Linked DNA regions of Rattus norvegicus. The protein of the gene in region 5 interacts with the protein of the main gene of each other region in a pairwise test. Links are inferred from orthologs where the notes say so. Each region holds a gene or a part of one and is shown on either strand. Other genes may lie near its edges. The genes, in order: Cops4, Dydc1, Ccdc120, Ccdc116, Ushbp1, Parvg and Sertad3.

Region 1 (3,500 bases), on a different chromosome or scaffold from region 5:
ATACTACATATCATACTACATATATATTAAAGGGGATTGTCTGTATTTTAGTAGGCAAAGATAGGATCGTAGAGTGTGATTCTTTTTGTCATTAAAGAAACACTTAGAACATTTGACCCTCTGTTTCCCTAGGACAGCAGCGCTCTCGGATGCTGGCTACCCTTTTTAAGGATGAAAGGTGCCAGCAACTGGCTGCTTATGGGATCCTGGAGAAAATGTACCTAGACAGGATCATCAGAGGGAACCAGCTTCAAGAATTTGCTGCAATGCTGATGCCTCACCAAAAAGCAACCACAGCTGATGGTAATGGCCACATCTTGCATGTGTGTAGCAGGGAATATTTAGGGTAGATTAGTAGAGAGTATGTTACAGTAGTGTTTCCAAGCAGTACTTCCTGATAATAAAAAGAGGACTGTTACCGATGATGAATATTAGACACCAGCGTGGGTTTGTGGTATAATCTGAAATAATCCCTATTGGAAAGCGTTTTATGAAATAACACTTCTTCTTTAAAAAATCTTGTTTGTCTGTTTAAAACTCGTGAAAAAAATTACAGAGTGTATGTATGTGGGGCACCTGGATTTTAAATAGCTAAAGCTTGGTAAGTGACACTCATAGCAGACTGTGAGGACATAATTGTCCATTCTTGATTAAGAGTAAAACTTAGCTCAGTAGCTTGCCCAAGGTTCCCTGGGGTCAAATGCTGCAAATGAGGATGAGTTTCCGTGGGGAGTGTGGTGGGTGGGTAGGAAGGGGAGCATCCTCACTGAAGCAGGGTGAGGATGAGGGTGAGGGGAAGGAGAGGCAGAAAGGGGATGACATTTGAAATGTAAATACGTAAAATATCCAAGAAAAAAAAAAAAAAAAGAATAGGTTTTCTTTCCTATGTTTGCTTAAATCAGAATGTCTTTGCCAGGAAAAAAAAAGTGTTTTTAACATTTTCTTATTCATAATAGAGGTTATTTTATGTATGTTTGTCTAAGATGTTTTAAAGTACCATATTAACATGGCCATGATACTAAATGTAGAGCTGTGACCATCTTGAACCATGCACAGCATGGGTGTCAGCACGGGTGTCAGCTAGGCTTACTCCCTGGGTTCACCATCGCCCTGTCCAAGGAGAAATTAGTCGTGAGGACTCATTTGTCTTCACTAGGCTACCTGAAAGGTGACAGTTTACTCAATCTTAGGTTATTATTTATTTATTTTTATGTCCATTGGTGATTTGACTGCATGCATGTCTGTGTGAGGGTGTCAGATCCCCTAGAACAGGAGTTAGACAGTTGTGAGCTGCTGTGTGGGTGCTGGGAATTGAACCCTGGTCCTCTGGAAGAAGAGCCAGTGCTCTTAACCACTGAATCATCTCTCCAGTCCCTCAGTCTTAGTTTTAAGGATTCTATTGTTATTCCTGTGTATAAGTGTGTGTCAGTATGTGTCGGGAACATGGAGGTGTCTTGGGAGGCCAGAAGAAATGGGTCAATGTTATGAGCTCCGCTGAGTCACTCAGTGTGGCTTCTGGGAACCAACTCAGGTCTTCCACAAGAGCAGCCCGTGCTTGCAACATGCAGAGTTTATCTCTAAGCCAAGATTTTATTTTTCATAGAATTTTCTTAAGCACCTCAGGAAAATTTTCTTTATGGTTGTAGATTATTTCTGGTTCTTCTGAGCAATTAGTTTTATCTTAAACACATTCTGAATTGATAAATTGATTTTTATTTTGCTTGACTTATAGAAAAATTAAATTCATAGGCCAACCATGAGTAGTGTGCATGGGCTTTAATCAGAGTTGATCCTCCTGTTTTGTTTTGTTTTAACTTTTGAATTTTTAATTCTCTGTGTAGTCTAAGCAGTCATGATTTGAAAAAAGTGATATACAAATTAGTTAAAAGCTAGGTAGAAAGTTTACAGAATTAGTATCTTCAGTTTGACTTTGAGCTTTTTAGCCACGAGAAAAGTCGGCTCCATAGGTTCTCTGAAGAGAGTGACTTCAGTGACAGGATGCCTGTCTGCTGCCTTCAGCTGAGCCAGCCCTGAGCTGACAGGCTTCTTTTTTTAGATCACAATCTCATTTCTTTTAAAACAGTCATTTATTGTATGCGTATGAGTACACGGTCCCTGTCTTGAGACACACCAGAGGAGGGCGTGAGAGCCCATTACAGATGGCTCTTGTCAGTAAGAATGTGTACTGTTCTCCCAAGCCCCGGGGTGGTTTCAGCTCCCACATCTCATGGCGTGTGATTCTGCCACAGAGGGGACATGATGCTCTGCATGTACCCACCTCAGCCCACCAGGAATACTCGTAATCAAAATGAAACCAACCTTAAAGACTGGTGAGGCTTCCTGTGGCTGCATGATGGTTGTGCTGCTGTTGCTGGTAAGTTTGTGTTCGACGCAGAGAAAGAAAAGTTAATGAGTTTGTCAGCCAGGAGCAGAGCCCAGTGCAGTCCATCCGTCCTTAGCCATTGCTCACCAGCTACTCATTGTGTGCCTTCCTCCCTGACATACTTCCTCACAGGAGCGGCTGAAGTCAGGAGGGATTGTGGCTCACAGTGTGAGAGAGAATACAGACACCATGGTGTGCAGGGCATGAGGGCAGCTGTGTGAGGTGGCAGGACGCAGAGCAGTGCAGGTGCTCCCTGGCTTTCTCCGTTTCAGTCTAGGACCCCAACCCAGGGAATGGCATGCCCACATTCACGATAGCCCATCGCTCTTAAACTAAACCTGTCTGGGAACACCTTCACAGACACTGCCAGAGGTGTGTTTCCATGGTGACTGACTACTGGAGATTAGCTATCACACTAATACTATATTTTGTATGTAAAGTATAATTGTAACTATACCCCGATATATTCGTGCTCACCTTTAATCTGAGCACTTGGAAGGCAGAAGCAAGCAGATCTTAGTTTGAAGCTATCCTTCGGAGTGAGTTCCAGGACAGCCAGGGCAACACAGAGAAACCCTGTCTGGAAACAACAACAACAACAATAATATAATATCAAATGTGAGTTTTAGTAAGTGTTGGTTAGAGGTATAAAAGCTGATTATTACATGTCTAGAAATAAAAATAAAGGTATTTCTTTTTACAGTATAAAACTAGTTTCAAGGGGCTGGAGAGATAGCTCAGTGGTTAAGAGCATTGACTGCTCTTCCAGAGGTCCTGAGTTCAAATCCCAGCAACCACATGGTGGCTCAGGACCATCTGTAATGGAATTCAATGCCCTCTTCTGGTGTGTCTGAAGTAGCAACAGTCTACTCATATACATAAAAGAGAATAATAAATCTTTAAAAAAATTAGTTTCAAACATTTAATGAGTTTGTTTATGTTTATTTAAGGTTCCAGCATCTTGGACAGAGCTGTTATTGAGCATAATTTGTTGTCAGCAAGCAAATTATATAACAACATCACCTTTGAGGAACTCGGAGCTCTTTTAGAGATCCCTGCAGCTAAGGTACTTTTCTTAATTCAATACTTTATAACAGGGAAATTGAAACCCCACACT
Region 2 (4,091 bases), about 1.1 Mb from region 5:
GGTATCAGCTTCTGTGTTAGTCAGTGCCCGTGACCAAGGCCACTATTATAAGGACAACACTTAATTGGGGTTGGCTTGCATTTTCAGAGTTTCAGTTCATTATCCATAAAGCAGGACCATGGCAGTATCCAGGCAGGCATTGCAGGAGAGAAGCTGAGAATTCTACATCTTAATGTGAAGGCCTCCAGGAGAAGATTGGCATCCTCCTCAGGCAGCTAGGAAGAAGCTCTCAAAGCCCACTTTCAGAGTGACGCACTTCTTCCAACAAGGCCACACCTCCTAACAGTGCCACTCCCTGGACCAAGCATATTCAAACCACCACAGCTTCCCTTAAGACTCACCTCAAGCACGTCCCTGTCATCATATATCCTGGGCTCTTACCCCACTGAATATCCTGCCATATTCTAGCTATCACACTGTGCTTTCCCATCTCAATAATCCTTTCCTCTCTACTCTTGGAACATACCTCCTCCTTCGAGCCACAGATCATGTCTGGCTCTGGAGTTTTGTCAAGCAGTACAAGGGAGTTTCTCCTACTTCAAGTAGCTCATACAGCCCTTGTCATGCTGCCTACAAAGTGTATAAGAGAGTGTTAGTATGTGTGTGCATGCATGCGCATGTGTGTGCCCTGCTGTCTCTCCATGGTGGCAAGTAATCAAACGTGTGCCTACTCTCAGCTGTTCCCCAGTCTTTTCAGGTATGAAGGCAGATACGTGAGTATTTTTTAGGGTGACTATTTCTATTTATAGTTATATAGGATAACAGACCAAACAAATGATCCCACCCAAGCCCAGAATTGTGACCCAATGAGATTAAAAGACCAGAATATGTTCACCATTGCAGTTCTCGACTCCTGTCTCAAAGGTGCAGACTCAAGACTGGAGTGACATGTGAACGTGGTTATTCACACGTTATTATTATAGTCAGACTGAAAGTGCTGTCTGAATGTCCTGGCAGGGGATCAATTACATACAACACCATGGAATCCAGCCACAATATAAGGGGCTGGAAATGCTCTCTAAAATAGGCAGTGGTTTCCTAGTGAGGCACAATGCAGGAGGAAAAGGGAGATGTAGAAATTGCTCCTGCTTCCAAAGGAATATACACGTGTATGTATAGTGTAGCCCTAAGAACGACTGGAGCTGGCACAAATACGCTGATTTCCAACTAGATTGGCACTGGTGTCCTAATCACAGAGAGACAAACACGGCAACTGACTGGGCTGTGTCTTCACGGTGCTTCTTCTGTGGGAAATTCTCTATAGATAAGATCACCACATGGACGTATCAGTGTCATTTATATACAACATGGAATACACTCTTCCTGCTGCTCCAAAAACATAGGATCTGGGGCTCTGGCAGCTGCTTAGCGTTCTCCGTGGGGCTTTCATGAGGTCCCTCTGTCATCTCTGCAACATACATTTCCTGGTCAGGTTAGGAAACTACTAGCCATCTCTTCTGTCCTAAGAAGTGTTATTTCCCAGCAAACACCAGTGCTCATCCAGCTTCACAGAAGAAAGTCCGCTCCCACAGAAACATCTGGAGCAGCTGCTCTGAGACAATGGAGGAGGTTCTCTGCCAGGACCTGGGAAGAGTGCTGGATTCGGCACTCAAAACCACCGCAGACCTAATTTCTGAGAAACAATGAATAATTGTCTTATATATATTTGTGCTAGCAAGTAACCTGCTTATCTAAAAGTAAATTTCAATCAGGCAGCCACCAACCTAGACACTTAGATTAGTTTTCCTATTGGGTGGCTAGAGGGCGGGAGAAGGAGGGGGGGAGGAAGAAGAGAAAGAGGAGGAGCCGGAAGAGAGGAGGAAGGAGAAGGAGTCCTTGCGCTCCAAAGGCTCTTACAGGAGAACTAACCCTCCCTCGGATTCTGAGTTGAGACCTACTTGACTCTCAAGGTGAAAATTTTAGAACTGCTTCTGCAGAGACACTAGAGGGCCGGTTCGAAGGAAAACGCTCCAGCCTCCTTGGTGCACGCATCCGATGCACGTTCTGGCCACACGCCAGTGAGTCGCGTCCCGTTGCCTGGCAACGAGAGCACGCTCTAGTGTAGAGCTAAGGTTCCATTGCAGCCCAAGTAGTGGAGGCAAAGGGAAATGAAAGGAGAATTCGCACTCTAGGGGAGGGGGTGCACTCTCGATAGAGCCAGGAACGCGCACTGTAGGGGAGGGGGCACGCAGATGGGAGAACCAGATTTATGGGAAAGGAAACACTGTGGAGAAACAGCGGGAGGAACCCAGCAGACACGGGGACTCTTCTTAGATAGGAGCCTTGTGGAGCAGCAGATCTTTGAAGTCAGGAGAGACACTTTCAAGGCTGCAGGCTTGTTGGCTTGGTAATTTTAAGACCTTTCAGAGTGAACTCACGGGCTGGAGAGATGGCTCAGCCGTTAAAGGCTAGGCTCACAACCAAAATATCAGAGTGAACTCACACACAAGCAACTTCAGCTAGCCCAAAGACACCCTCCACCAGGCTCTAGCTTGCACTCTCCCCTGGTGTGCGTGGTTAGTTCTTGTCAATGTGACACAAACCTAGATATACCTGGGGGCAGGAAATCTCAAATGAAGAATTGTCTCCATCAGATTGACTCGTGGGCGTGTCTGGGAGGCATTTTCTTGGTTGCTAATTATGGGCATATGTCCACTATGGGGAGTGCTTGTCCCTGAGAAGGCAGGCTTGGGCTGTGTAGAAAAGGTAGCCGAATCAGCCAGAGAACGAAAGCCTTCCTTTCATGGTTACTGTTTCACGCTCACTCTCCCATTGCGTTGCTGGCTTGGCTTTCCTTGATGATAGACTGAGTGTAATCTGTAAACCAAATAAATTCTTCCCCCCTCCCCCCGGGTCATAGTGTTTACCAGAGCAACAAAAAGCAAACAATGGGCCTGGCATTGCTCGGTGGTAGAGGCTTGCATAAATGCAAGAAGGGACGCTGATGGATCAACAGAGTCTGAGCCCTTCCTTTGCCCACCCGCCCCCAACATCAGAGCACTCAGACATCTTTACTCGGTACTGAATGTGGGACAAGTGCCAGGGGTGGTATCCTCAGAGGGCTTGTCGCGTTTAAGCAGTGCAGCAGTCACTCAGTAATCCAGGCATGGAGAGACGCTCTGGCAGTGCATTGGTGATTCTGTGCTGGGATTCTACGAGAATAGCGAGAGGATCAGTGACTGGGGGTTGCACTGGGGATTTCGTCGAGCCACACATATATTCAATCTAAGATATCGGAAGTTGCACTTCACCAAACAACAACTCCTCGTCCGATCACATGAAGCAGCAGGGATGTGGAAAACTTAATCCACACAAACCCTTCTGTATGTTCCGTTTCCCTGTCTTCTGACTTCTAGAAGCTGTCTCTGGACATGATCTTGACTTTCATGCTCCTTCTTCCATGTGTTTTGTCACTCTGCCACCCTCCACGTCTGGCCTTACTGACACCTCTGGCAATTACAGCTGTGCCTATGTGGCGCTTTCCGTGAGAATGAGCCCGAGAGGCTCAGATATTTGAATGCTTGGTTGACAGTTGCTGCAACTCTTTTGAAAGGCTTCGGAGATGTCTTGTTGGAGGAGGTGTGTCACTGGGGGTGGACTTTGAGGTTTCAAAAGTCCACAGCAGGCTCGCTCTGTCTGCCCCTACCTCCAACGTGAAGACAAGCTTTTGAGAACTGTTCCAGCACCGTGCCTGCTTGTGCCCATGCTCCCAATCCCATGGCGGCTGTGATTCCCCCTCTAAAACTGCAAAGCTTCAAGTTAAGTGCTTTCTTTTGTAAACCGTCTTGATCGTGGTATCTCTTCACCACCAATAGAAAAGTAACTGAGAGGTCCCGCTTGTATAACACACACTCCTTATTTAAGATCCTTAATCACAATTCCAAAGCCCCCTTTATCATACAACATAACATCCACAGGTTCCGGGTTTGAGATTATGGGTTCCTGTGGAAGCAAAAATGTAGCACTGGAATAAGCCTTCAAGATGGCTCCTGTGTCTACATTGTCAGAGTCTTACTTCCTGGCATAATAAACTGTCTCTGGCTGCTTATATTTTTTTTTGCCCCAACCCTGGAGCCAAACTTTTCCTTAAG
Region 3 (3,998 bases), on a different chromosome or scaffold from region 5:
AGTCAGTAGTCCTTAGGTAGGCTACACAGAAGTGCCTATATCCAGTGGTATAAGGAGCTAGAACCCAGACCTTGACTGATCTCTTGCTTCTCCATTTCTCACCTGTAGAGGATGTAGTTCTGCACTCGGAGAGCAGCTCCCTCTCAGAGTCAGGTGCCAGCCATGATAATGGTGAGAACTATTCCCTTAACCTGTGCTCAGCCCCTCCTACTATAGCTCCTCCTTAGCCGCGCCCCATGTCCCTATGTGTTCTTAGTTTCTCCTTTCACTGCCTTCCTCTGCCCCAGACCCTACAGGTCAGTCTCTACATTACCTTTTTTGCCTTGCATCATTCATCCTTTAGCTTGTTGAAGCCTATCCCAGCAATGCCCCTCCCCTTCACATGCCCCTCCCCTTCACATGCCCCTCCCCTTCACATGCCCCTCCCCTTCACATGCCCCTCCCCTTCACATGCCCCTCCCCTTTGAGCCTGCTCTGCCCCTTTGGGCCCTCTCGTTGAATTTTACCTTATTTTTCCTTCTACCCAGAAGAGCCTCATAGCTGCTTCCCTCTAACGGAGCGCCCCTCCCCACCAAAAGCCTGGGACCAGTTTCGGGCGGTATCTGGGGGGAGCCCCGAGCGACGTGCCCCATGGAAACCTCCGCCATCAGATATTTATGGGGACCTGAAGAGCCGGCGCAACTCTGTGGCCAGCCCCACCAGGTAAAGAGGAACCCGTTTTCCCATTTCCCGGGACCAAGAGTGGGATCCTGAGCCTGGGTTGGCAGGAGGGCCTACTGGTGGGTCCACTTTCTAACCTGGGTCCCGATGTGGGCCTGCCATCTCTGTCTAGCCCCACACGCTCGCTGCCCAGGAGTGCCTCCAGTTTTGAGGGGCGAAGTGTGCCTGCTACCCCTGTCCTCACCCGGGGCAGTGGCCCCCGGCTCTGCAAGTAAGGGGACTCTTGAGGGTGGGTCTGAATATGAGAGGAGGAAGACTGTAGTCCTAACTGTAGATGTTGAATTACCCGAAGATGTGGGACTTGGGCAGCCGGCCTTTGAAAGGCGGATAGAAGTTGGAGTGGGAATTGGAGGCAGAGGTGTGAAAGTGGGGCTTTCCCGTGTTTTCTTGGATGCCATTTTCTTTCTCTGAATCTTTGTCTCTTCATTTGTGGAGTGTGATATCTGCCTTTGAAAGGCACGGGCACAGTGCATGTTGGGTAGCATGTGCAAATGCCTACTGTCTGCTAATAATTGATAGCATTCGTGGCGGATAGTAACTCCTTCTCGCATTCTAAGACCCCTCTGAGGAGATGCCGTCATTTGCATTTTATAAATGTAGAAAATGAAGCACAGAAAGGTTAATTAGGTAACCTGTGAGCAAACCGAAGTTCTCATGCTTGAACCCATGGAAATTTATGGAATCTAGTGTCAGCCTCGAAGCACTATACTATAATGTTTCCTAAATGTTAAACATGTCTATTTTTCCCATGCCGTGAACAGAAGCCTCGTGTTTTAGAGGGCCTACATTCTGTGCATGGTGGGACAGTTGTTTGGGGATGGTTCATAGGCGTGGTGGGTTAGAATTCAGCAAGGCCTTTAGTTCCAGGCATAAGGCCTAGGACTTCCTTCAGGAGGTAACAAGGAGCCATAAGGATAACCTTAGGGGGAGACTAGGAGCCCCTGGGTAACAGAACAGTACCTGGGTGTGCCCTTCCTTAGCTACTGCTTCCTTCCCAGAAACATTTACGTAACCCTACGAGCGTGTACCCCATCCTGGTGTACATTTTCACGCCCTATGCGCCAGCTTCCCTGTGCGGGAGCGAACTTCACTGGCCCATGACATTACACGCACTGCTCAGCGCTATAAGAAGGCAGCTCCTAATACTGGTCCCATTTTAGAGCAAGGGGGGGGGGGGCTCAGAAAGAGATGGGGCAGCCAGGGCGCTCATCATCTGCATTCTTTGTCTGACCCTGCCCTTGTTACCTCACCTCTGCTCTCCAGACCCGAAGGCCTCCATCCTCGTCAGTGGTCCGGTAGTCAGGACTCCCAGATGGGCTTTCCTCGGCCTGACCCTGCTTCGGATCGGGCCTCTCTCTTCGCAGCTCGTACGCGCCGCAGCAATAGCTCTGAGGCCCTGCTGGTGGACCGTGCAGCTGCTGGGGGAGCTGGATCACCACCTGCTCCGCTGGCTCCCCCTGCTGCTGGTCCCCCAGTTTGCAAGAGCAGTGAGGTGCTGTATGAGCGCCCCCAACCAGTCCCTTCTTTCTCTTCCCGTACCACTGGCCCCCCAGACCCTCCTCGGGCTGCCAGACCTAGCTCGGCTGCCCCTGCATCCCGTGGGCCCCCCCGGCTCCCACCTGTGTGTGGAGACTTCCTCTTGGACTACTCATTGGACCGAGGCTTGCCCCGCGGTAGTGGCGGGGCCGGTTGGGGGGACCTGCTGCCTGCTCCTGAAGTTCCAGGACCCCTTTCCCGCAGAGACGGGCTCCTTGCCATGCTCCCAGGTCCTCCACCCATATATGCAGCTGATGGTAGCAGCCCCCTCCTCCGCAGCAAGGACCCCAACAGCCGTGCCATCCGTTCCAAGCCCTGTGGCTTGCCCCCAGAAGCCGTGGAGGGTCTGGAAGTGCATCCAAACCCATTACTCTGGATGCCCCCACCCACCCGGATACCTCCAGCTGGTGAGCGAGGTGGCCACAAGAACCTTGCCCTGGAGGGGCTGCGGGACTGGTACATCCGGAACTCGGGACTGGCCGTTGGTCCCCAGCGCCGGCCAATGCTCCCGCACGTGGGGCCAACACACACACCCTTCCTCCATGCCCGCTGCTATGAGGTGGGCCAGTCATTGTACGGCCCTCCCAGCCAGGCACCGCTCCCGCACTCCAGGAGTTTTACAGCGCCCCCTGTCTCTGGCAGGTATGGGGGTGCTTTTACTGATGGGTAGGGGTATTGCTACAGATGCTGAAGGTATCCTGACCAGGGAGCACTTTGTCACCATAGCTGCTGAGTGTCGGGACCACAAGAAAATGAGCTGTAGTCTTGGCATGGGGTCACTGTCAGACATAACTTTTATTAGTCCTTGGGGTCCTGAGGAGGAGGATCTTGGGTGTTGGTGGCAGGAGTTCTTTCCCAAGCTTTAGAAGGGTTTTTCTGTTTTCCATAGTGTGGGGCAGCTGGCAGTGAGCCTTGAAGTCAGGGTGCTGGGAGGAAGGGACTCATGCTCTCCCTGGCTTTCTCTTCCAAGCTTACTCCATGCTTGAGAACCTGAAGGTGCTATCCTGTAGCTGTCTCCACCTCTTTAACAAGCTCTTCTCCTCTCTCTGTGTGTGTCCTATCCGTCTTTTCCTCTCTTACCTTGTCCTCCCTACCTGTCTTCCGGATTCCTGCTGTCCTTTCTAAAGATACTACACGGATTTCCTGTATCCCCCGGAGCTGAGCGCTCGTTTAAGTGACCTGACGCTAGAGGGGGAGCAGTCTTCCAGTTCTGATACCCAGACCCCAGGGACACTGGTCTGACCCTAAGCCCTGTGTCGGTCTGGACAGACAGACTCCAGTCTGAGGAGCACACACAGTCAACCTCGCTGAGCCCTGAGATGTGGTTGTTCTTGGTCCTGCGGGACAACTGCCTGATCTCACAGGACCCCTGGCTTCCTTTTGGCCCGGGAAGATGTCTGATACCCCTGCTTTTCTTCTTACCCTGTGCTGGGGGTCTGGAGGGCCCCAGCTAGCTTCAAAGAGGGGGATAACGGTGTGGCGACTGCTTCTTCCTCCATTTCTGTTTACACTTGTGATTTAGCATTCACTGTCTTTGCCCAACACTCGGTGTTTTATAAAAGGGAAACTGAGCTCATTCCTGGTTGGGTTCATTCCTGTCCCCGTGCCCAGCCTGTTCCATTCCAGAGCCACCACCCTGCCTCAACAGAATGGACCACATAGAGTCTCGGGACTAGGACTGCTGTGAACAGAGCTCCCTGCCTCCTCCCACTAGAGTTCTCGAGCAGGTGGGCTTCTGTCTA
Region 4 (4,176 bases), on a different chromosome or scaffold from region 5:
GGGAAGGAATGGGGAGAACACAGGGAAAGGGAAATGGGAGTGGAGATGGCAGGGAGTGGCAAGACTATGCTGGACCTGGCCCCTGAGTTGGCCCTGGCAGGAGGCCACCTCCACTGTGATCCCAGGGGCAGGCAGGGTGAGGTGCAGGCCATGGCGGGGCTGAGGTATATGGTTGTGGTTTGAGGCTGTAGTTTGTTTCTGCAATTTGAGGTCAGAGTTAGGAGACTTCAGCATGCACTGGGATGAGGGGATAGGGACATTAGAGACTTCTGTAGGTGTCACCTTGAGCCTGAATCTGGTAGCCATCTGGACTGCATTAGATGGGGAGCCCCTTCTGTCCTTGCTTTTTCTGTGAGATGTCTTAGGGCTGGAGGCCGAGGTGGGAGAATAACAAGTCTCTCCCCTAGCCTCCCTGTCGGTGGGTAAGGAAGCCTTAGAGCTGGGTTGAAGATCGGAGTTCCCAGGAAACACTGGAGACAGCTCTGAGGTAACAGGGAAGAGGGGGAAGCCATTGTGGCGGCAGGCATGGCTCAGCTTGTCTACAGCCTGGCTGACCACACGCTGCAGGGCTGGAAAGAGGTGGTGCTCAGACAGGAAATCCAGGGTACGATGGGGTTCCCTGAGTGGACAATAGGTAGGCAGGTTGAAGGAGGTTGGCTGGTTCAGCAGTGACTTTATCTCCTTGTTTAATTCTTGTTTGAGGAAAATCATCTCTTGTTCTCCGAGTCCCAACTCTGAAGTTTCAGGGGTGACTGAAGTGGAGGCCAGAAGCCCAGAGAACCAAGACAGGGGCTGTTCCCGGGTCGGCTGACTGCTGCTCTGGCTGCCCAGTGAGTCCCATAGCAGGGAATCCCTCTGGGAGCAGTGTTGATTCAGAACTTTCTGCAAAGAGAAAGAAAAGCTAAGAGGGATCCAAGCAGGCGGAGCCCTAGCCGCTAATCTCACGCCCACCTTCTGCTAGCCTTAGCCATGGCACCAGACCTCACCCCTTTGCTTTCCAGTCGTAGCAGCCTCTTGAGGTTTTTCTCAAGCAGGAGTTTGTCCCTCATGGGTGGCAATGAGCCTACGCCTCTGGCACCCAGGTCACTGTCTTGGCTGCGGGACCCCAGCCATCCAGCTGTGACGCTGCTATGGGAGTCAGACATGGAGCTGGAGCAAGATGGGTAATTGTTTGGGTGTCCAGCACACAGCGTGGGCCGAGCACGGTGCCGATGCACAGTGTTGATGCTGGGTCTGCCTCGAGAACGATGCCTACTATTTGGCACCTCCACTCGGTCTTGTACATCCACCAGTGGCACTCCAGCCTCTGTCTTCATGGTAGCCACACATTCTGTTGCCTGCTCCACGACTGTCTGCAAGCTGTCCAGTACCTGACCCTCCGTGAGGAAATCCAGGAAGCCACCAAATGCCCGAGGGCGCCTAAGGTTTTGCTGGTGGCCCTGGCGCTCTGAGTATCGGTTCATTGATGGTAGGTGTGGTACACGCCCAAGCTTGCAAGTTGGCCTCATCTCTGGCAACAGATGCTTCTTGGGCAGCTATATTGGAACAGAGAGGGTTGTCATAACAGGCAGGATGCCCTGCAATGGGTGAGGAGCAGTCCTCCCGGGGTGCCATTAGGAGCTGGTTGGTATTGAACAGTGGAAAACTTTTTTCTTTAAGGTTTCTCGAGGCTAGGAATTAAACCCAGGGTCTTGAACATGATATGCAAATGTTCAGCCACTAAATTACACTTAAAATTTTTTTCAACAATTACTTGTGGGTACATGTGCATGTAGGTATGCCTCAGTGCAGGTATGGCAGCCAAAGGACAATTTGGTGTGACTGGTTCTCTCCTTTTATTATGTGGATCTTGGGGATAAACTGATCATCCCCAAGTCAGATCATCAGTCTTGACTCAAAGTGCCTTCACCCACTTAGATACTTCACCAGCCCTGAGTTACATTTTAGAATCGGGTAATCCTGAGTTTGAATCCCAGCCAGCTCTGCTATCTTCAGGATCTATGACTATGCTCACAACAGCCCTTTTCGAGGGCTTCTCTTCAAATTACAGGTCTATTAGGGTTGCCCTGAAGGTTTCCCAATGCCTCTATTTCATATATGCCAGCCCTAGTTGGGAGTCTGAAAGTGGAGTTCTGTGTTCGTGGTATGAAAAGGCAATTATGGGAGCCCTCCGCCCTCAGGCTCTAGCAAAGGTCTACACTGTCTTCATTGCTGTGCTACACTTGAGGACTCGATTCTGTGTCTCCAGCTTGAGTCCTGTACGCTCCTTCTCAGGGCTCCTGGTCCACCCAAGTACTATCTGGGGCCAAGGGGAGTGGCTCAGCAAGCAGGCATAAGGTAAGGCGACGCTACAGTAAGGATTTCACCAAGTGACCCAGTAAGATCAGCTGGACATGAGAAAGCAGCAGCAAGTGGTGGGTCAGCTGGATATACTTACCCGAGCCACATAGGTGCCGTGAGCAGCCTCGTCGTCAGCCAGATAACCTGAGTGGTGGCGGCACCTTGCCATGATGTGGATAATTAAATTTGTTTTCTGCTTCCTTCTTCAGGTCCTACAGCACAGATGCAGACTCCTCTGTATGGGGCGGAGAGAGGAAGTAAAGTTAGGTCCAGGCCTCCATGGACCCCTCATTCCCTGTACTTGTGTCCTCCAGACGTCCCAACTTTCCCTGCTTGGACTGGTCACTTATCTGTGGACATTCCCAAGTCACTGCCTTTTGTTTGCAACTGTGTCTGGGTCCAAATGTGTGTCCAGACTTCTTTCTTTCAGACCTGAGGCATCCTGGAGCCCCCAACCTGCTTACCAGAGTCTCTGCTGTGCTTCTAGGGGTTCACTCATTCAGCACCCTTTAAAGCTCTACCGCACAGTGCACTGGAATCCTACCCTCGCAGCCTCCCAGGATGCTCATTTACATACCTCATCCTGATTGGCCAGAATCTGGCCTCTCATTCACTATCCTCCCCGACACAATGGTTGGGGGAGGGGCCCAGATTGGCTCCTCCCCCACCTTGCTGGATTTTTAAGTCAAGCCAGCTAAGTAAGTAGCGCTTGGGGATGGTTATAGATAAGACTTTATTCAGCCAAGAGGTCTGAATCTGGGGCTTGTCTAATCCTCAGGGTGAAAGTGATAGCCTCAACTTGTTATTCAAACATCTTCCTCAGCTCATTCCTGGACCTCCTACTCGTTGTCTTCCTCTTAGGACCCCATTCCCTCATTGGTGCAGCGTGGACTAGCCCCTCATCTTCCTTTTTAAGTGAAGAGTCCTGGTTTTCTGCACAGCCTAGTTCCTGTCCCTGCTTTTTCTTGCTGATATGACTTAGTCCCTTAACACCAGCTCCTCATAATGGAGCTGAGCACCCTTCCACAAATGAGTATTACAACACATTTTGCACCTTAAAGTCCATATAAACTCACTTCTACAGTTTTCCTTCTCCCTTCATCCTAGAAAGCCTGTCATTGCCAACATATCCACAGCAAGTCCATCCTCCACTGCCACATTGTTTCTTTCTTGTCTAACAGCTGTACTGTTAGGCCGTGTAGGGCAGGAATCAAAGCAGTGAACCCTAGTCCCTAATAACTCCATTCCTCATACATAAAGTAAATGCTTAATTTTCTCTTCCCAATCTGTGGTTCTCAGGGTCCCATGGCCTCTGGCCTTCCCAAGAGCAGCTTCTCAGAGAGGCCCAGTGGTTGAATGACACTGGATGGTTCAGCAATCACTATGATCAGACACAGCAGTGTTTATGCCAAGAATTTGGCTGAAGCGTTCTCCGAGGCCTCCAACCATTACAAAGCATCATCAGGTACTGTTTTTTGTTTTGTTTTTTTTTTTTTGTTGTTTTTTGTTTTTTGTTTTCTTCTTCTTTTTTTTTTTTTTTTTTTCGGAGCTGGGGACCGAACCCAGGGCCTTGCGCTTCCTAGGCAAGTGCTCTACCACTGAGCTAAATCCCCAACCCCATCAGGTACTGTTATAATCAAACTCTCTCCCTTCTCCCGTGATGCAGGGATCAGATAGGATCGATGAAACCAGAGCAGGCCAGGCTCCAACCTGTAGAACAGAGTTTCCTGCTCCACCTCTCTCATGAACCTTCAGGTTCTGTGACTGTAAACAGTAGTAAATTACCAATATCATGGGCTTGAACCAAGAAACAGACATCCTATAATGAAAGCCCAA
Region 5 (3,941 bases):
TCTGAAAGCTAAGCGCTGAGCCACGCCCCTAGCCCCTCATTGGAGTATTCTACGCTGTCACTCTACCCTGAGCCACGCCCACAGGCTGACGAGGATTCTTAGCAGAACCAGCTAGGGCTCTGTTCTGTTTTGAGACGATTGCCTATCTTTTCAAAGCTAGTACTAAATTATGATCTTCTCATCTCAGCCTTTGAAGTCCTTATCATTACAGGCTTGTCCTATCACATCTGGGTTTAACGTCACCCATAATCTGTAGGTTTTTTGGTCACCTCTACTAAACGCCCCGAGCCACTGCTGTCGCCCCTCCTCCACCTTCAGGATTATGGTCCACCGCCAGACTGTTCCTCTCACAGGCATCAGATGGCGCAAGTGAACACCTGCAGCAGGGTTCCCCTCAGAACCCACCACACACAAGAACACAGTTGTAAATCCTGCCCAGCCTTCAGCACCCTGCGTACTGTGACCTTCCCCCACGTGCCTTCACCTCTCCCACTCAGTTCCAGCTACAGTGATCTCAGGAGTTGTGCTGGTTCGTGTGAACTTGACTTCAGCTAGAGTCATTCTGGAAGAGGGACCACAATTGAGAAAATGCTCCCCCAATTGGACCTGTGGACATTTTCCTGACTGACGATTGATGGGGAGGGAGGGGCCAGCCCATTGTGTGTAGTGCCATCCCTGGGCAGGCTGAGATAAGAAAGCAGGTTGAGCAAGGCATGGAGAGCAAGCCAGTAAGCAGCACACCTCCATAACCTCTGCCTTCAAGTTCCTGCCTGAGCTTCCCTCAGTGACAGAGTGAGGCCTGAGAATTTTAAGATGAAATAAATCTCTTCCTCCCCAATTGCTTTTGATTGTGGTGTTTTATTACAGCAATAGAAACCTTAAAACAAATCTGGCATAGCTCACACCTTTAATCCCAGCACTAGGGAAGCAGAGGCAGGGGGATCTCTGTGATTTCGAGGCCATTCTGGTCTACAAAGTAAGTTCAGGACAGCCAGGGCTCTGTTACACAGAGAAACCTTGAATTGGAAAAAAACACCACCCCCAAGATAAGATTTGTGTCTGTCTGTCTGTCTGTCTGTCTGTCTGTCTGCGGTGCAACTGACACAGACAGGGTCTGTAACCCAGGCTAACCTTGGACTCAGTCTACAGCTGAGAAGAACGTTGGTCTTAGCCAGGGCTCGCCAGAGTAGAGATTGTCCCTCTTGAGCTTCCTGCGTGTTAAGATCGTGGGGTGCAGACTGCCGGTCTCCCTTGCTCCCCCTCTCACCGCGCTGTCTTTATTGGTCACTTCCTTGGCACATCTGCCACTGCTCCACCCACGTCAGTGTCTACTCTCAAAGCAGGATCTGCCTCTTTCCCAGTCACCAGCTCACCTGTCTCTGCAGAGTCTCATTCTCTGCCTGGGCGTCCTGCAGTGAAGCCTGAGTCCGCGCCAGTTCCTCCTCCCGGGTGCCCAGGGCCAGCCGGAGCCAGGCGTTCCTCTCTATGAAGTGCGCTGCCTCCTGCTGTCCAGGTCCAGAGGCTTCTTCCTCATTACCAAAAGACCCCGGAGCTCCCGGGTCTCTGTCTTCTGCCTCCACTGGCTTTGAAAAGCTTAGCGAGTGGCGGCGCCAGGCAGCTACAACTGCCTCCAGGGAGCTCAGCCTGCACTTCAAGGTCTCATACACATTGGGTGCTGTTATCTCAGCAGGGCCAGTATCCAGAGGGGCTTCTTGCAGGGCCTGGTGGGCTTCCACCTCAGGCTCGCGCCGTTCTTCCGGGCTCAAGGGTAGGACCCCATGGGATCCCACATCACAATCCTCCTTGATCCTGTGAGGATAATCAGGAACCCTAGCCACCTGAGACTCAGCAGAGGCGGAGGGCTGACCCCAGGGTCCCTAGGAAGGCTGAGCAGGGACTGAGCTTCATGGCTGGAGGGTAAAAAGGAAGAGGAGAGAAGCGGGCAGGGGAAGCTATGGCAGGTGAGCAGCTGGAGGCAGTTGAGTATGGGCCCCGGCATCCTACCGGTTCCCAGGGCCCTGCAGGCTAGGACCAAGATGTTCCTGAAGCAGCTCAGGTTTAGTCTCGAAGCTCCCATTGGTGGTATCTACCTCCTCTGAGCTCTCAGCTACTGGGTCCAGCTCCCCCTGTGAATGACACTCCCGTGCATGTGCGGGTGCGTACACACACACACACACACACACACACACACACACACACACACACACACGGGCTCTTGGTCATCACATCCAGCTCTCCCTGTGGAGGTCTCCCCTGTACCACAACAGGTTCTGAGCCAAGCAGACCTGGGTTCCCAGGATCCATGGGCTGGGTGTGGCAGGAAGAGGGGCACACTTACAGGCAGAGGATGCCTCCCTCGCCGGCTTCGGGGTCGTGTGGCCCGGGCACTCATTACTCTTGTCACTACAGCCTGCTCTCAGTTCTTGCCTTTTGTTACCTTGGTATCCTTGTTTTTTGTTTTTTCCTGTAGGAGTTTTGGTTCGTTTGAACTGATTGACACATTTAAATATTTAAATACCTCTCCAATAGTGCCCACTGTTTACTTGTCTCCTCCTCCCCGTCACCCATCTCTACCGGGCATTCCTTTTCCCTCCGCTGTCTGAATTCATTTCTCTTATCTGTGCCCCCTCTCTTCCCTATGGAGGCATTGAGTGGTATCCTAAGATTTCTCCTTCTTCCCACGACTCTCTTAGTACCAAACTCCCTCACCCTGGGGATTGGCCCTGCGGCCCTCTTCTCTTCTTCTCCAGGGCACCTTGGGAAAGGTCTGAACTCCTAAGAATATCTCAGGCCATTCTGGCCACTGGCTACTGAGGCTGCAATGGCCAAAGGTGGCCTGGGAGAGGCTGAGAAACAGGAAGCTCCCTACCCTGATCACATGGACAGTTATTGTTTTGTTTCCTTCTCCAGGATGCCAGCTTCCTCCAGAACAGGAAGAGGATGGAGGACCAGGACCTTTGTCCCACTCCAAGATATCAGTATCCCCTTATCCCAGCCCAAACATGTAGTGCCTCCATTTTTATTTTGGATTTTCTGTGTCCCCCTGTTCATCAGGGCTCGCTCTAATGTGAAGGTCTTTTTAAAATTTTATTTTGTGTCTCTAAAAACAAAACTAAGAGAGTTGGCTCCAGCACTTGCATAGCTTTTATTTTTCATTATTTATCTTTGTCTGTGATGGTACTGCTTGTCTCCGAGATCGAACTCAGGTCGTCAGGATTGGCGGCAAGAGCCTGCACCTGTTCAGTAGCCCACAAGGTTTCTCTTCAACGAGACTGAACTACTGCATCAGGCCGTTGGAGTCACCGGCGACAGTGAGCTTGTCCACAGTGGCTTCTTTACTTTTTCTTTCCATTTGGTTTTCACACAGCGTCTCATATAGTCCAGGCTGTCTAAACACCCGATCTTCGTCTTCGGGCCTCTGGAGTGTTGGGATGACAGGTGTGCACCACCAGCTCGCATCGCGGAACTAGTGAATGAATACCAGCCCAAGTCACATAAGTAACTGAGAGGGCCCTAGGCAAGTCCAAGCCAATTCCTACCCCGTCAATCATCAAACGGCCCCGCCCAGCTCAATCTCTTGTCCTATCACAGCAGAGGCCTTGAGAACCTTAGTGTGATTAAGCCCGAACTACAAATTCCTCTCAGTTTTGCTTCAGTTCACCACGGGTCACACCCACTCTCAATACTACCCCTCCCTCTTCAGCCCCATTCCAGCCCGTTACACTCCAAGCTACACCCCTAGAACGCCTCAGCCTATCAGCTTCCACGTCCTGAAGGCCACTGAACTACATTTCCCAGAAGGTAGCACTTCCGGTAAGGAAGATGGCGGCTTCCTAGAGACCTGATTGACTGGCCCCGGTACCCAGGCAGTGGAACCTGCGGCGGTGTGAACGCGCGCGAACTTTGTGTCGCCGCGGTCTAACTTCGACTCGGCTTGCTGC
Region 6 (3,500 bases), on a different chromosome or scaffold from region 5:
GGACAGAGAGGAAGGGCGCTAGAGTCTCCATGGGCAGTGATGCATGGTGCACATTCAAGGCAAGAACACCCTGGCACTCAACAACTCCCTGGCCTGTCATTTCTCATCCCTCTTCCTGGGGTCAAACTTAGCTGCCTGCCTGGACTAAGGGTGTCTTTTGGCAGCTCTGGGATCCAGGGTCCATATGAAATGCCTTGCCTACCAAACCTGCCCTGTCCAGTCCCTGTAGCCCTCGTGAACCACAGACTGCTCCCCCCAAAGCATTCCTGCACCTCTGCTGAGTCTGCTCCCTCATTTCAAGACATCCTCCATCTTCCTCAATTTTTTAAAACAAACCCCAGCCAGCACTGTTCTCTTGCAGTCTCTGCCCAGCACACCAGAAGCTAGTGCCTTGCCTTGATGTCCTGGAAGGCCACCACCCCAAGAGAACCATGAGTAGACACGGAGGAGCTTGAAAGCCAGAGTCATGAGGGACTGTCCTGTATACTGAACAGCATGGCATGGCCCTAAGCAGACCCTTGGAAAGTGGGAGTCCAGTGCACAAATGCCTGAGTAGGTGGGTGGGTGGGTGAGTGGGTGAGTGGGTGATGGGTGGTTAGGTGAGTTGAGAAAGGCAGATGGGTAGATATGTAAACAGACAGGGAGGTGAGCTAGTAGATGGACAGATGTGTAGAAAAATAGATGGGTGGGTGGATGGATAGATGGATGGATGGACAGATGACAGATGGATGGATAGATGGATGGATGGATGGATGGATGGATAGGTAGATGGGTGGGTGGATGGGTGGGAACATGATTGATGATGGATTAATGATGGATGGATGGATGGGTGAGTGGATAGATGGGTGGATGGGTGGATGGGTGGGTGGATGGGTGGGGACATGATTGATGATGGATTGATGATGGATGGATGGGTGAGTGGATGGATGGGTGGATGGGTGGGTGGATAGATGGGTGGGTGGAGGGATGAATTAATGGATGAGTAGATAGATAGATGTATAGGGGATATATAAATATGTACCTAAGTGTTGGATGAGTGGATGGGTAGATACACTGGTGGGTGGAGGTAGGTGGATGACATCCATGGATGGCTGAGTGGATAAATGAATGGATGAACATGTGGATGGGTGGATGAGTGGGTGGATTGATGGGCAAATGGGTGTGAAGGTAGATGGGTAGACAGGCATATGAACAAACTTCCTTCCCACTTTCCTCATTGCTTGGAATAGAAGAAAGAATGTCAGCCAATGTCATAAATCTGTCTACCCCCCCCTCAAAGAAGGCCACGGAGGAAGATTTCGGAAGCTTACCATCTCTGTGGGAGAGCTGGGAGTGAGATAGAATTCCTTCAGATGCAAGAAAAAGCCTTCTAGCTGTCCAATCAGCAGAAGCAAGATGACGCCATCTGCAAACTGCAGGAGTTGTGTTTCAGTCTGTTATCTCGATAGCACGCTGAGCACACTTGGGCCCCAGCTGGTGCATTGTCATGGATTCTTTACAGGTAGAGCCTGGCTATAGGAAGTAGATACTGGGGTACAGCAGATTAGTGGCTAAAGTCTCCCTGGCTCTCTCCTGCTGGGCTCTCAGCTTCCTGTCCATCATGATGTGAACAGCTGTCTTCCACCAGACACCCCTGTCCCCATCATATTCTGCCCAAGCATGTGAGGCCAAGCAAAGAGACCAAACATGAACTGTAAGCGAGATAAACCCTTCCTCTTTGTCACAGTGACTTATAAGGGACTAACAAGGGAAATGAACCAGGGCTGTGAAGTGGGGGGGGTGCTGACATTGGAGGGGTTCCACTCTGCCTCTTGTATGCTGTGTGTGCTGAAAGAAATCACACCACCTCTCTGAGCTTCACATTCCTTTTGAAAAGTGGGGTTGGCATTCCCAGCTCAGGGGGTTATCAATAGTTGCATGAAGCAGTTTGGGCTCTCTCTCTCTCTCTCTCTCTCTCTCTCTCTCTCTCTCTCTCTCTCTCGTGTGTGTATGTGTGTGTTCGTGTGTGGGCAGGGGCATGTGGAGGCCAAAGGACAATTTAGGGTGCTATTCTAGAAAAAGTCCACCTATTTGGGGGCAGGAAGAACAATCCTTCACTGGCTCACTGGCTTGTAACTTGCCAAGTAGGCTAGACTGGCTGGTCTGGGAGCCCCAGGAATCCTCCTGCCTCTGCCTCTGCCTCCCCCATGCTGGGATTAAAGATGTGCCAGGGCCTGGAGCAATGGCTCAGTGGTTAAGACCATTCTCTGCTCTAACACAGAACTTGGGTTTGTTTCTCACACGCAGCAGCTCACAATCATCTGTGACACCAGTTCCAGGGAGTCCGACACCTTCTTCTGGCCCCTTCGGTAATCAAGCACATATGTTGCCCATACATACATGCAGGCAAGCACTCATACACATAAAAAAAAAAGGACACATGTGCCACCACACCCCAGGGATCTGGCTTGCCAGGAAAACACTTCACCAACTGTGGCACCTTCCACCACCACCCCCAATTGTGTCTATTTTTAAATGACAAGTTATTCCACGGACTACAGATCCATGTGTGAAAACAGAGTTAGTATAAAACTCTCCCATCAGCAAAGGAAAAGAGGAGTACACGGGCCCATTAATATTTCTGTCTGTTCTGTCTGCACGGTCTGAGATAACGCCGCAGTGAGCACGTCAAATGCTAACATAATCCGGCTGAATCTCTTTGCTGTGAAAAGACGCTGTTCTGTCTTTAATGGAATTTCCCCTGATTAAGTCTGTTCTGGTGTTATTAGTTTGGGCCTGGAAGCCACTCTGCTGCTGTCCCCAAAACATAGCTGAGAAACCTAACTCTGAGGCCTCCTCTACCATCCCAACATGTCTTCTGTCCTCGCTCACTCACTCTTGTCTAAGCAGAGAAGAGAAGGCTGCCAGAAGTGGGCTGTAAACTTGAGATATGCGCTACGTCTACCCAAAGAAAATACAGTCGGAGATGTGTTGCTTGGGGAAAGTCACAGTGAGTCAGGTGACATGGATGTTACTGAATAGCAATGACACACACACACACACACACACACACACACACACACTCACACTCACAATCCCGTGAAAGAATTACTCCCACTTTATAATGCATGGAGCCTGAAGTTCAGAGAAGTTCAGTAAGCCAGCCAAGGTCACACAGCCAATGTGGACATACCCTCAGAGCCCAAGGGCACCCAGTGGCAGGCACAAGATGGAAACTCATACGCATATGGCTCTGAAGTCTGTGTTCACCCCAGCATGTTGCCAAGGCACCCACAAAGCTCACATGGCCACCCATGTGCAGTTGCTATGAGTGGATACTTGGGCCCCAACTGACTCTGTCCAAACCCTAGGACCACTACTTAATTGCTATGTGACCTTCAGTAAGTGACCTAGCCTCTCTGTCCCCCTGAGCCCTTAATAGTGTCATGTATTGAATGGGACTTTGTGAGTTCTCACATGAAACAGAGGTGGGGGAGAGGAGAGTGGGGAAAGCTGCAGAG
Region 7 (4,148 bases), on a different chromosome or scaffold from region 5:
CCGTGGATGTATCCAGCTCCCTGAGGATAGAGCCAATGGTGGTGGACAGGGAGAAATCTTCTTCACCCAGGAAGAGCGGCTCTGGGGGCAGGGCTGGTGCTGGAGCTAGGCGAATGGCAGCCTGGAGCTGCTGGAGCGTGTTGTGGATAAGGACGTGCCTGCGGAGGCTGGGTGCTCTGGGGCCCAGGCTGCGCTGGACTTTGTCCAGAGAGATTCGGAGCAGGGCTTGCTGGTAGCTCCGAAGAGCAGTTGGACTCCAGTCCCACTTCTCATCCTCCTCCTCCTCTTCCAAATCAGAATGTTTCCTCTTTAAGCCTCCCATGTCCTGTGGGAAAAGGGAGTCGAGTCAGATACCTTGGGCTCCCACCTTTTCAAGTACGCCTGTGCAGCTATGCGAAGTGTGTGTGTGTGTGTGTGTGTGTGTGTGTGTGTGTGTGTGTGTATCAGAACCTCTAAAGTGCACACAGTCAGAATCCGACAAGGCTAAGAATGGGTGAATTAATGCATTCGATGTGACTGAGAGAACAGGAAGCAGGTAGGGTTGTTGGGGAGGGGGGGCAGGACACAGAGGAGAAGCAGGCAGCAGTGAGGGTGGAGAGATGCCTGTAACTGTAACCTCTGTATTAAGGAGGCAGAGAGTTCAGAGTTCAAGGTCATCCTCAGCTAAGTAGTGTCTGAAAAATAAAGGGAGCTTGAGAAATTGCTGGGTTGGGGATTTAGCTTAGTGGTAGAGCGCTTGCCCAGCAAGCGCAAGGCCCTGGGTTCGGTCCCAGCTCCGAAAAAAAAAAAAAAAAAAAAAAAGAAAAGAGAAATTGTTGAGTGTTTACGAGCATTGGCTGCTCTTCTAGAGGACCCGAGTTTGATTCCCAAAACCCACACGGATGGTTCATAACTGCCTAAAATTCCACTTTGGCTTCTCTTGGCCTCCTTTGGCACCAAGCACACACATAGTGCCCAGACAAACATGCAGGCTAAACACCCATACACATAAAATTAAAAATAGGAAGATATACAGAAAACAGTTTGCGGATGGTGTTCTATGCCATTAATTTCAGCACCCAGGAGGCAGAGGCAGAGGCAGGTAGAATTTTGTAAGTCAAGAGCAGTCTGGTGGACATACATAGCCAGTTTCAGGCCAGGCATAGTCACATGGTCAGACAAACCTTTCTCAGAAAAACAAAACCCCTAAAACAAATCACAAAAACACCTGAGCATAGCTTGAATATCACTTACTCGTAGGCACAATGTTGAATTGACGCTATGGTAATCAATTTCAACATTTGGAAAGTGAAGATCTTAACTCTCGTCTCAATAGATCTTGATATTGTCTTTCAAGACACTGTGATCTTGGCAAGATCTGGTGTCACAACTCTGAACCTCAGGTTTTTGTTTTATTTTGGTTCTAATCTAGACAGGGTTTCTCTGTATAGTTCTGGAACTCCCTATGTGGATCAGGTTAACTTCAAACTCATATCGTACTTCCTTTTCCACCTCCCTGACAGCTGGGATTAAATATGTGTGAGACCACGCTCAGTTGCGTGTTGAAATTCTTTTTTTTCTTCTTTTTTCAAGAATATTTCTGTCCATACCTGCTTCCTTCAATTAAGTCTAGGACCTCTCAAAAGAGGGAGCCTTTCCCAAACTCCGACCCAAAGGAAAGCCAACTAGAACGAAACTAACCTCAAACTGCACCCTCTAGCGACCAGTCCAACCAAATCTTCTCTTTTAGGCACCGCCCTTCCCTGGTTCGCTAGACCAGAACCAAGAACACTTCAATGTATCCTCGGGGCCTTCTGGGAACTGTGGACCCAGAGCCGCCAGGTAGAGCTTCTGTTGTCGCGTTCAAACTACAATCCCCAGAAGGCCCAGCACACCCAAGAGGCTGGACAGACCCGCCCTCCCTGAGCATGCGTACTGGAGCTCCAGCGATGGGGGAAGGGAACCCGGACCTCCAGCAGCCCAGTGGCCGCCGAGCCCCGCCCTCTACTGCCTTCGGGGCGGCGAATCTGAGCTCCACGCCCCAGCGCCCCTCCCCCACCAGACTTCAGTCGGAAAACCTGCTTTCTCTGGGTCCCTATCACCCCAGAAAGTTCTGGACTCTTCCCCAAACTGTCCTCGGTGTGCAGAGACTCAAACCCCATCACATCGCCCAAAGACGATAAATAACTCTCGGGTACATAGTTCCGCTGGCGAAACTGGGTATCCCAATTCTGAGACCTTGTCCCGAACCTCCCCTAATTCGGCTGCACTTTCAAGTGACTCTGGGCTTTACTTTCCAAACTCCCAGCCCGGCTCCAAGACCCCGTCAGTAACTCTCTCCGGCATTCCCATCTCACGACCGCGTCTCAGAATCCAATGCTCAATGCCTTTAGTTCCCGGGTCCCTCTAAATGCTTCACATCTTAGCCTTGAAACGTTCTCTTTCTCCAGAACACCGTTCAACTCCAGACTCAGCCCGTTCTTCGAGACCCAAACTGTCCTATTCTCCGATTCGTGCCTCCAAAGTTCTTTCTCCGTTCTTCTGCTTCTCCAGACTCCAACTCCTTCTGAATAATACTGCTTCCCCTTCAGTACTGATGCTGGAATTCACTCTCCAGCCTTCCACCATCCAGTGCCCATCAGTCACACCAATCTCTCTCCACTCGGGATACCCCGCTTCCGCCTACCACGGGAGCGCGCCCCCCTCCTCCTCTAACTCCAGGAAAATCTCACACAGGCGGCCACTCCTCACCTCGGCTGCCAGGGTCGCCACGACTACCTTCGACAAACCTGCAGCGTTGAGTCCCACCAGTGCTGGGTAGGAGTCCGGCTCACTTTCCCCGGGCCTCTGGGTCTGGCCCGGGGCCACTCGGCTCCTCCCCGGAGTCCAGTCGCAAGCCACGATTGGTTGGAATCCTGCCCGCCGCGGGGCACCATTGGCTAAGAGGAGCCACGGATGCTAGGCCCCGACCATCACTGGGCCGGGTCCGGTTTAGGTTGGCTACTGGTCAGGGGGCGGGGTGGAGTCTCCATGGTGGAGGTGGTAACGCCGTCAGAACTGCTACTTTGGACCCAGCTATGTTTCTTACTCCTCTGTCTCACTGCAGACCCCTTATACCAGACTCCACTGCGGAGTAATACGGGGTGACACCATTCTCCCCTCCCTTGCGGTTTTGCAGGGTGGGCAGCTGCTGGAGGCCACGCCCCCCGGAGTTCCGAAGGCTGGGTGAAACCGGAGGGCGGGGGAGGGGGCATGACGCACCAGACAGCAGCCAATAGAATGATGCGGCTTGCGTTGCCTGAACGACCGCAGCCCTGCCCCTTAGCTGGCGGAGCTCTGCCTCCCCAACCCCAACTTGTTTTGTAGGCGGAGCCTGTGCTTTCTCTAGAGGGGTCTGTGGCTTGTTTGGTGGGACTTCCTGGATCCCAGGCAATTCCATCCTTCTTCGTATTTGTCTGCCTGTTGCTGCTCACTCCTCATGGCTGCCCGCAGCTCTGGGAACAAACTCAAACTTACTTCTTGTTTTAATTTTGGGGGTTTATCATTTGAGCCTTTGAACAAGCACCGTAGGACTGAGCTAAGATTTAAAATTTTGGTTTTTTGTTTCTGTTTTTGTTTGTGTGTGTGTGTGTGTGTGTGTGTGTGTGTGTGTGTGTGTGTGTGTGTGTGTGTGTGATAAGGTTTCGTAGTGAAGGGTTGACTTGCTTTTCACTCTTTGGTCTCTGGTACCCTCCTTCCTGTTTTCTAGGATTCACTTTCGGGTTCTTTTTGATTCAGGCAGTCTCGTGAAGCTGGACTCCAGTGTAGTAGACAATGCTGGTCTTAAAATTCTAATCATGTCTCGCTTCTATCTCCTCAATCCTGGAGTTGCAGGTGTGTACCTTCAGACTCGGAAATTTCCCCCTTTTGCTTAGTTTTTTGTGGTGTTGGGAACGGAACACCGAGCTGGTGCTAGCCAGAGTCCTCTATCACTGAGATACACCACCAGCTATTTTTTTGTTTGTTTTCTGAGACAGGGTTTTGCTCTGTATCCTAAGCTGTTCCGGAATCTTGTACCTTCCTACTTCGGTTTTCTGGTGCTAGGATTTAGGCATTCACCACCGTGCTTTCAGTTTTTCTAAGATGGCTCCCAATACCTTCTAAGAAATAAACACAGGACTTTTCTCCCT

What was found.
Region 1: the proteins of Ushbp1 (region 5) and Cops4 interact in binary tests that used the Homo sapiens proteins (3 or more experiments, as listed by UniProt). The two-hybrid records come from large-scale screens. The link is inferred for Rattus norvegicus from reciprocal best matches to the Homo sapiens genes USHBP1 and COPS4.
Region 2: the proteins of Ushbp1 (region 5) and Dydc1 interact in binary tests that used the Homo sapiens proteins (3 or more experiments, as listed by UniProt). The two-hybrid records come from large-scale screens. The link is inferred for Rattus norvegicus from reciprocal best matches to the Homo sapiens genes USHBP1 and DYDC1.
Region 3: the proteins of Ushbp1 (region 5) and Ccdc120 interact in binary tests that used the Homo sapiens proteins (3 or more experiments, as listed by UniProt). The two-hybrid records come from large-scale screens. The link is inferred for Rattus norvegicus from reciprocal best matches to the Homo sapiens genes USHBP1 and CCDC120.
Region 4: the proteins of Ushbp1 (region 5) and Ccdc116 interact in binary tests that used the Homo sapiens proteins (3 or more experiments, as listed by UniProt). The two-hybrid records come from large-scale screens. The link is inferred for Rattus norvegicus from reciprocal best matches to the Homo sapiens genes USHBP1 and CCDC116.
Region 6: the proteins of Ushbp1 (region 5) and Parvg interact in binary tests that used the Homo sapiens proteins (3 or more experiments, as listed by UniProt). The two-hybrid records come from large-scale screens. The link is inferred for Rattus norvegicus from reciprocal best matches to the Homo sapiens genes USHBP1 and PARVG.
Region 7: the proteins of Ushbp1 (region 5) and Sertad3 interact in binary tests that used the Homo sapiens proteins (3 or more experiments, as listed by UniProt). The two-hybrid records come from large-scale screens. The link is inferred for Rattus norvegicus from reciprocal best matches to the Homo sapiens genes USHBP1 and SERTAD3.

The regions. Positions count from the first base shown.
Region 1 is NC_086032.1:9,389,108-9,392,607, reverse strand, and holds part of Cops4 (COP9 signalosome complex subunit 4), read left to right. Parts: intron 1-132; coding exon 133-303; intron 304-3,333; coding exon 3,334-3,449; intron 3,450-3,500. UniProt on the Homo sapiens protein: Component of the COP9 signalosome complex (CSN), a complex involved in various cellular and developmental processes.
Region 2 is NC_086034.1:16,973,741-16,977,831, reverse strand, and holds the start of Dydc1 (DPY30 domain-containing protein 1), read right to left. Parts: upstream 2,801-4,091; 5' UTR 2,554-2,800; intron 2,053-2,553; exon of another isoform or gene 1,798-2,052; intron 1-1,797. UniProt on the Homo sapiens protein: Functions as part of axonemal radial spoke complexes that play an important part in the motility of sperm and cilia. Plays a crucial role during acrosome biogenesis.
Region 3 is NC_086039.1:17,440,219-17,444,216, forward strand, and holds the end of Ccdc120 (coiled-coil domain-containing protein 120), read left to right. Parts: intron 1-108; coding exon 109-171; intron 172-527; coding exon 528-702; intron 703-832; coding exon 833-931; intron 932-1,983; coding exon 1,984-2,898; intron 2,899-3,383; coding exon 3,384-3,498; downstream 3,499-3,998. UniProt on the Homo sapiens protein: Centriolar protein required for centriole subdistal appendage assembly and microtubule anchoring in interphase cells. Together with CCDC68, cooperate with subdistal appendage components ODF2, NIN and CEP170 for hierarchical subdistal appendage assembly.
Region 4 is NC_086029.1:97,348,401-97,352,576, reverse strand, and holds the start of Ccdc116 (coiled-coil domain-containing protein 116), read right to left. Parts: upstream 2,801-4,176; 5' UTR 2,691-2,800; exon of another isoform or gene 2,687-2,690; intron 2,578-2,686; 5' UTR 2,510-2,577; coding exon 2,438-2,509; intron 1,536-2,437; coding exon 987-1,535; intron 883-986; coding exon 1-882.
Region 5 is NC_086034.1:18,099,068-18,103,008, forward strand, and holds the start of Ushbp1 (harmonin-binding protein USHBP1), read right to left. Parts: upstream 2,801-3,941; 5' UTR 2,710-2,800; intron 2,465-2,709; 5' UTR 2,393-2,464; coding exon 2,339-2,392; intron 2,127-2,338; coding exon 2,005-2,126; intron 1,810-2,004; coding exon 1,374-1,809; intron 1-1,373.
Region 6 is NC_086025.1:117,346,187-117,349,686, reverse strand, and holds part of Parvg (gamma-parvin), read right to left. Parts: intron 1,413-3,500; coding exon 1,311-1,412; intron 1-1,310. UniProt on the Homo sapiens protein: Plays a role with ILK in promoting the cell adhesion and spreading of leukocytes.
Region 7 is NC_086019.1:91,889,793-91,893,940, reverse strand, and holds the start of Sertad3 (SERTA domain-containing protein 3), read right to left. Parts: upstream 2,801-4,148; 5' UTR 2,731-2,800; intron 2,725-2,730; exon of another isoform or gene 1,681-2,724; intron 326-1,680; 5' UTR 323-325; coding exon 1-322.